2 linked regions of the Oryzias latipes genome follow. The protein of the gene in region 2 interacts with the protein of the main gene of each other region in a biochemical or structural test. Links are inferred from orthologs where the notes say so. Each region holds a gene or a part of one and is shown on either strand. Other genes may lie near its edges.

Evidence for each region.
Region 1: of the proteins of rock1 (region 2) and limk2, one has a biochemical effect on the other in vitro, tested with the Homo sapiens proteins (2 studies listed by BioGRID). The link is inferred for Oryzias latipes from reciprocal best matches to the Homo sapiens genes ROCK1 and LIMK2.

Annotation. Positions count from the first base shown.
Region 1 is NC_019876.2:4,300,570-4,304,639, reverse strand, and holds the start of limk2 (LIM domain kinase 2), read right to left. Parts: upstream 2,801-4,070; 5' UTR 2,513-2,800; coding exon 2,497-2,512; intron 2,355-2,496; coding exon 2,270-2,354; intron 1-2,269. UniProt on the Homo sapiens protein: Serine/threonine-protein kinase that plays an essential role in the regulation of actin filament dynamics. Acts downstream of several Rho family GTPase signal transduction pathways.
Region 2 is NC_019875.2:28,418,944-28,422,869, forward strand, and holds the start of rock1 (rho-associated protein kinase 1), read right to left. Parts: upstream 2,801-3,926; 5' UTR 1,982-2,800; coding exon 1,889-1,981; intron 1-1,888. UniProt on the Homo sapiens protein: Protein kinase which is a key regulator of the actin cytoskeleton and cell polarity.

The DNA.
Region 1 (4,070 bases), on a different chromosome or scaffold from region 2:
TAAAAGTCTAGAAAAAACAAACTTTCCTTGAGCCGAAAATTTAGGTTAAAAACCAAGATTTAAGTTAAAAAAGTAAAAAACAACAACTTCCACTTCAATTTTCTCACTCATGGGAGGATAATTAAGCACAAAGCAGGCTGATAAGAAAAAGGAAGAAGCCCCATTGTTAAAAAACAAAAAACAAAGCCTGGACTTTTGTGCCAAAAGTGTCTGAGACAGAGATTGGGTGATATGAATCGGCGTCTAGGAATGCAGAAAACAGTGAAGTTGAGTGTGGTGTTACCTATGGCTCAGGGCAGCACCACCAGGTTTATTGGAACAGGAGTGAGCTCAACTCCCAAGAATGTTACACAAGGTAGAGGTACACAGGGTAGAGTGGCAGCATGTGGACAATGAGGAGCAGGAACACAAAAGGGTATGAGAGCAGTTAGAACACGTTTTAGGCGGGTTGTTTGAGGGATTATAGTTGTGCAGAGAGTGTGCTTCTAGATAAGAGTCTGTTTATCGCACCGGCCATTATCTGTAAACTTTGGAGTCAAACCTGAGGAAGACAAACATCTCATTTCCATTAGGCTTTAAATGAAAACCTCTGCAGAGGAGAATAAAGAAAATGTCAGGAAATTAATGGAAAAGGATAAAGACGATGGCTTAAAGCTCAGGAAGATATATGTTTTTAGCTTCTACACAATGAAAAGGTTTAATCCCAGTCATTTATGTCCACTTCATATTTAGCTAAGCATTTACAAATTTTTTTTTTACACAGTTTATTCACCAACGATTACACTTATTTTTCTTTTGTTTTATCAACTCGTTTAAGGTCATGTTTTGTCAGTTCCCCCTCTAAAAACATTAACATTTGTAGTCAAAATCAAAAAACCTGTTTACTAGAACATAGTTTCTCCAGAAATTGAAGGGAAGGAGCCGTTGGCATGGAGTGAGCCTGCCTTCATTTACCATCATCTCCCGTTAGCTTACAGCCCCAATCTAATATTACCAGTGCAACAAAAACAGCGAGCAACATTGGAGCTATCCAGCTGTAAAGTTTTTATCCAGATGCCAGCTCAGCCTAGGAAAAAAAAAGACGTACTTGGATCCATTTGTCTGGAAATGGATGCATCAGAATGGAGCGGAGCCGGGAGTTTGTGATCTGCTGATTGGAGATTTTAACAAGTACAGGCTTTTTTCCAACTGCTTTTTTTCGTCTGCTCCTGACTGATTCTCTAGGCTTATCCAGGTGAGCAGCAATTTTAAGCATCTTTTTCTTTCTAAATGTCCTTTATCATGACACAATTTTCATTGGAGTCAGTCTTTAAGCTACATTTTTATTGGTTTCATTCAATAAAAATAGGCATATTTTCTTGTAGTGTACGTCAGTGTTCTTCAACAGGCGTTGAGCCAAAGTAGAAGTTTTTCTTGACCAAAAACAAAAAAATCCAAAGAAACACTACAACCAGAAATGTAAAAAAAAAATGAAACTATACTTCATATTAACAAGTCGTTTTTTTTATCAGTGTCTTGAACAGACAGGAAAAATTCTTAAGATCTTTCAAATTTCTACTTGATTAGTGTGAAACAAGCCCGTTTTTTAGACACAAAAAACATTTACCATTGCCAGTGAGAAGTGTGCAGATTAAATAAAAAGCACTTTGATTTTTTGATATATTTATAATGCAAATGTTGACAATTTCATTCAAACCTGTTTAGAAGCCATGGTTATGGTTAACTTAAAAGATATATCTCGATCGATAATGCAATAAACGTTCAATAAAAGTAAAAATTAATCTTTCATTTTTGAAACTTATAAATATTTTAAGCAAAAATATAAAAGAAAAACGACATCAACATTTTAAAAAATTGAAAAGTGGTTATTTATTTATTTTTCTCCAAAAGACGGTTTGGATTCATGAATGAAGATGGGCATTTGCTGGCAGATCCAGCTCAGTTAATTAATAATTAGTCAATCTGTCAATTGCGCGGTCACGTGTCCGCAGCGCGAGAGCAGGTTTGGAACATCTCAAGGTGATTTTAGCTTCACGTGGCACAGAGACTGAAAGTGTTTAAACGACATTTAAATTAAATAAGTTCGACTGAAATTTGAAAAAGCCACAAAACGACACAAAGCAGACAATAAACCAAACGTTACGAGGAAGAAGCGAGAAAACCTGCTTCCAGGCATCCTTCTAAAAGCCAAAACCTCCCGGTCACCACTCGAACAAAGCTGTGCTCATTAACAGAGGAACGCTTGGAAGCAGAACCGGAGACCACTCACTGGAAGCAGGCGTTGTGCCAGGTTTCCTGGAGGACCTTCGTGTGAAACGAGTCCTGGATTTTGCCTCTACAGCCCGCACAGAAACCTGCAAAGACAAAAGAAAAAAAAAAGAGACAAAAGGCTGAAACAAAGCGAGGACCATATTAAAAACGAACAACCGTTCGCTTCATGCAGGATGCTTCCCGACGGTATTCATAACCTTACGTTAACGTGACATAAAATCTTACTTTCTAGCTCATCCATCTACTCCGTCGTCGTGTTCCAGCTTCTACTGAGTCCTCATAATGAGGGAAGGAGGAGCTGTCATGTGCCGCCTCAAGCTTTCATCCGCCCGCTCTAGACTCTCAAACTCCAGGCTCAGGACGCGGCAGGAAGACCGCACTGACTAATTTCTGTTTGAAGATACCCCCGAGGAGGACAACAATCACCTCCGAGACTGCGCCGCTGTCGCTGCGGGGCAACCGCTGACGTAATGAAGTCTCCACATTCCTCTACGGAGAGCGGAAGGGCTCAACTGCAGCACCTGGAAGCAGGAGCGTGCCGAGGAGCGCTCGCACACTGAGAATGAACGGTGGTGGCGCCATCTACTGGCGAGAGAATGCTCTGCAAATGAAGCGACAAAATTTTGCATTTTGGGCCTTCAAAAAGTTTTCACTTTGATACATTTTCATTCCATTTACTACGACAAACACTTTGAATAAAATAAGTTTCGATTAAGATTTAACATCAAATATATTCAGTTAAAGATACTCTAGGTAAGGGTGCTCAGTGAAACTGAACATCAATGGGGGACCTGGGTACTTTGGCTTCTTCCCACCATCCAAAAACATGCTTCATAGGTTAATTGGTTACACTAAATTGTCCATAGGTGTGAATGTGAGTCTGCATGGATGTGTGATTGTGGCCCTGCGAAACACTGGCGACCTGTCCGGGGTGTCCACTGTCCTCGCCCGCAAGTCGGGATAGACTCCAGCAGCCCTGTGACCTCAAAAGGGACAAAACGGATTAGAAGATAAATGAATGATACACTAGGTATATTTAAAATGAACATAGAAGAGTTTTATGTTTTTGCTGACCATTTTTCATCTGTTTTATCACTGTATGTTCTTCACCTTTACTATCCCGTCAGGGGTTGCCAAAGTGAATCAGCTTTCACCAATTCAAACAGTTTGGTAGAGATTTTTACTCCGGATCCCCTTCCTGATGCAACCCTGCATTTTATCCGGGCTGGGGACAGGCACATGGAGACTCAGACCTGAATCCCTTGTGGCTACATTGTTAGGCAGTAGCTTGAAAGGTCTTGCTCAAGGACCAACAGAAGATCTAGCTCATTGAACCCCATGAGAATCAATCCCTGATTTCCCGTGTGCTAGTACGGCATTTAACCAACTGAGTTGAAATTTTTAGTATGATTTTTAAGAATTTATCATCACAAAATCGAATTTTAACATCCAAATCCATATTTTTAATGTCATATAATGTAGCTGTGAGGAGACCCAAGCCAGGGTCTCATGTACAAGTCCCAAGCCCGTTTTTGGACATGTGGGGGAGAGAGTCGGAATATATTGGTAGAAGGATGCTGAGTCTAGAGCTGCAAGGCAAGAGGTCTAGGGCACGAGACTAGAGGAAGACCAAAGAGGAGTTTTATGGATGCACTGAACACAGACATGAAGGTACCTGGTGTTGGAGTAAAGGATGCAGAAGACAGGATTAGATGGCGGAAGCTGATTTGCTGTTTCAATCCTTAAGGGAAAAGCTGAAAGAAAAAGAAGATGTCATGTTGCACTTTTAACTACACGGT
Region 2 (3,926 bases):
TGCTCTTTTGTTTTTAATCTAATAATTCATGGATCCTACACAACCACCATATTGTAATTTGTTAAAAATTACAGACCTGCAGTACGGAGACCCTAAAATATTTACTGAAATGAAATCAAGTAGAGCAGCCAATTCATTAAATCTGTTGCAACTTAACCACAAACAACAGGTGTGACCGTGTCAGGCCCTGGCTAATTTCAGCAAATGTCAACATATCACCAACAAGATATTTGCACTAATAACACCGAGCATATGATCACAACAGTTTCCATGAGTAACTGGGAGCCAAATCCCTGTGAAAACACTCGCTGTCACTGTCGCTAAAGCTGAAATACTCCTCCTATCAACAAACCCTTGACTCAACAACATTCCCTTGGCATTCACTTCACAGTGAGTCAGTTCCCAAGACTCTCTTTATCATCAGTCAGATCAATTCAGGGGTTGACACCTATTAGACTGTAGAACAGCAAAAATGTACCTGATGCCTGCAGGTTATAGAAAGCCTACAAAACAGGCCGACCTATTTAAAGGTTAGAAAAAAAATGCATATAATAAGGGGGAAAAAAACACTTTGAAGTATCCAAACACCATATAGTACAAAAACATTCACAAGAGTTAAAGATTTGCTCATCTAAAGGTATTCTGGCTTACGGATAGAGCAGCCATAGCTCTTTTTCCAGTGTTGACTATAATCAGAAATCGAAGGATTTTGATCATACATGGAAAAAATAGGGAAACAAATCAATAGAAAGATACAGACCCAGGGTGAAAAGACCCCCTTTTTTGAACATCCATTCACCAAAACTTAAACCAAATTTCTTAAGAGATGCAGAGATGGTCAACACTAAAATAAAATAACTCCACTGGTTATCAAAGATAAAAACATATATAACATCTAAGGAGTAGAAACAGATTAATCATATAGATAAAACCGATAAAAACTAGAAGGAGCTGCATTTCCAGAAGGAAATACAGGGTTGAATGCTCTATTGCTGAATGAAAATTAAACTTAAAGGGTAATAATTGGCACATAAAAAATATAAAATACAGAAATGGTCAACGTTGACCATAAATAAAGTGAAAACAGCACAATAACAGAACAGATATTTTTGTGAAAAATGCCAGCGCCGGGTATCGAACCAGCGAGCTTCTGCACCAAGGATTCCCCATGTATTTCAATGGAGGCAAAAATCCTGGAAATCCTGGAATATCTTGAAAAGTTCAGGGATTTGAAGGAGCAAAAGTCACAGCTGGAAAAAGCTGAAAGAGCTGAACATTTTAACAGTTGTATGGTTAAAATAGCTGAAAAATTGTAGAAGGAGTTAAGCGGGGAAAAAAATGGCAGAAGAGACTATAATAAAGAAAGAGAAACAGGAAAAGAATTAATAAATGCATACTAAGATAACAGCATGTAAAACTATCTACAGTTTTTAACTGTCTAAAAGTGAAGTCATTTATTAAATGTGGCCAATCCCTAAGCAATTCAACATCCCTGTCACATAAACAGCTGGAAATAAGTGACAAGTTTGTCCTATTTTTTCATTAATTCTCTGTTTTAGCTCTGAGTCAAAAGCTTCATCATTTAGAGGGCCGGTGGTTTAGAAAACATGAGTCACAGCAGCTAAAAGGCACACAGACAGATGAATGTGATGTCCTCCTCATTCAACGTTTATTGTATTCTGGTGCGCATGTGTGTCGGCGGCAGACGAAGTGTGTGAACTTAATCGACCTGTCAGTGTCGGGGGTTCGAGCGCCGACAAACCGCTGGTCTCAAAGACAGACAGAAAGACAGAGCTCTGCTCCGACTGAGGAGTAGGCTGACCCTGAACCGCACACTGCGCTCTGTTAGCTAGCTGGCTAGCTCACAAGCTACACAGACTTTACTTACCAGAAGACAATCCGTGTTTATTTCCGACTTTGGGTCCTTCAACATGGCATCGATTTTTTCAAACCGACCCTCCATGTTTATCTCGGAGGACATTTTCCTGCCAAACTTAGTCCCCCGTGTTGAGTTAAAAACAAAAAAAGAGCTCCCTGGCGAGGCGGTGGAATGGCTAGCAGTTAGCCGCGGCGCTAGCTAGATGGCCAAACGTCCCTTTCTTCGCGCAAACTTTTCCACCGCGCTTCAGAGAAAATGCATCCTCCTCCGGAAATTTCCACAAAAAATCGAGACGTTAACGGGGCACTGGACACGCCACATGATTGTCGAAGTCGGAAGATGTTTTCCCGTCCGTGAGTGGCAAACAACTTCCGTGCAAAGATAATTGCGGCGACAGATTAGGATGCCACTGAGGATAAGGGCTTAAAACGCTGCTGCATCGAAACAAAAGACAAATAACACGTTCGTGCAAAATCTTCCCGAAAAGTTTTTTTTTTTTTTTAATGTTTGAAAGTTGGCTAGTCCGGGCCCGTTTCCATGTTTCGCAGGCCTAGTTTGGAGGAAACGACTGAATGATTCTGACAGCTCAAAAGTAGAAGTGGTGGAGAAAAAAACTTCTGCTTCTTCCAAATTTCGAACAGTTTAAAACGAGGAGTCGCTGAACGTTGAACGGCAGCCCTTCCGCTTCGCCCCGGTGTCTGTCAAGGCCCGTCGAATAGTTCCCGTCCGGCTGCCGGAACTCCTCCGCGGGGTAGAACTACGATCCAACTTGGCTGGATGTTGTTTTTTCGGAATACAATCGCAGACTGTGACCGAATTTCTCATACAGCCTGACCAACATGTCCGCCTTCCTGTTCAAACACTCCGGAGAAGCTACTTCAAAATGTCAAGTACTGCGCATGTGCCGCTCCGAGGCGCGTTCAAAGATTGAACGGAGGAAACACGTCGATGTCTCAGGGAGCCAGAGCGCCCGCGTGCTCCTGATTTTAGACCTATTTCCTGATTAGTTTTGACAGAAAACTACAAAAGTTTGTACAATAATAAAGATAGGGTAGAGTTAAGCATGACTATCAAGGTTATTGAGATTTAAAACATTTTGATTCCAATAGCCCTGTTTATGCATTCTGAAAATCAGATCATAATCTGTTCCTTTTGTTTTCAAGTCATATCAATAATGTAATCTTATTTACTTTGTCCAATTATGCCAAATTTAATGGTAAATCATATTGATGCTTAGAATTTATGTCAATATTCTACTTTCGTCCTGTATAGATAACTATGTATACCCTTAGAAGCATATTATGGCATAAATAAACACATAAAATAAAACTGTTTGGCCACCTTTATAGGCAGTTATTTAAATAAAATAAAAAAAGTGGCCCCTTTGGAACGATCAAAACTAAAATCATGGTTTGATTTAATCTTGGTTTCAATTTATTTTAAGGAGTACATGACCAAAATTGTTTTCTGAAGAAATTCCTTTTTAAATTTCACAATATTAGTACGGTAGATGTACCATTAAAGACAGTACCACTGCAGTCAACTTTATTATTATCATATATAATAATAATATTGCTCTTAATAATATTGTTATTACTAAAATTGTTATTTCTTATTTTTCATCATTTCTTTCAAGTGTAGTTAGTGTTATTATCCATCTTCTGTTTTTAATAGTTGTTGTAACAAGATAATTTCCCCTTTATGTGGTCAAAGATTTATTCTATTCTATTATTTATTTAGTTAGTTACATTTTTTTACTTTAAGGATATACATGCTAATGTTGTTGGCACAATATCAGAATCAGTAAGTAACTGCGTTAAAAGATCTGCTTTGGCCATTTGGCCTGGAAGGATAAACAGCTGTCCAGGCAAAAGGTGCAGCCTGACTGAAACCATTCTGAGCGTCAGTGATGTGCAGGAATTTAAAAATCTTAAATGGACAATAAACGTTTTGACTGATATTCTTCTAAAGCAGCAGGGATGGTAGAAAATAAAAATGTAACAACAAAAAAGCCCTTAATTTACTAAAATTGAAAATCTGTGTTATG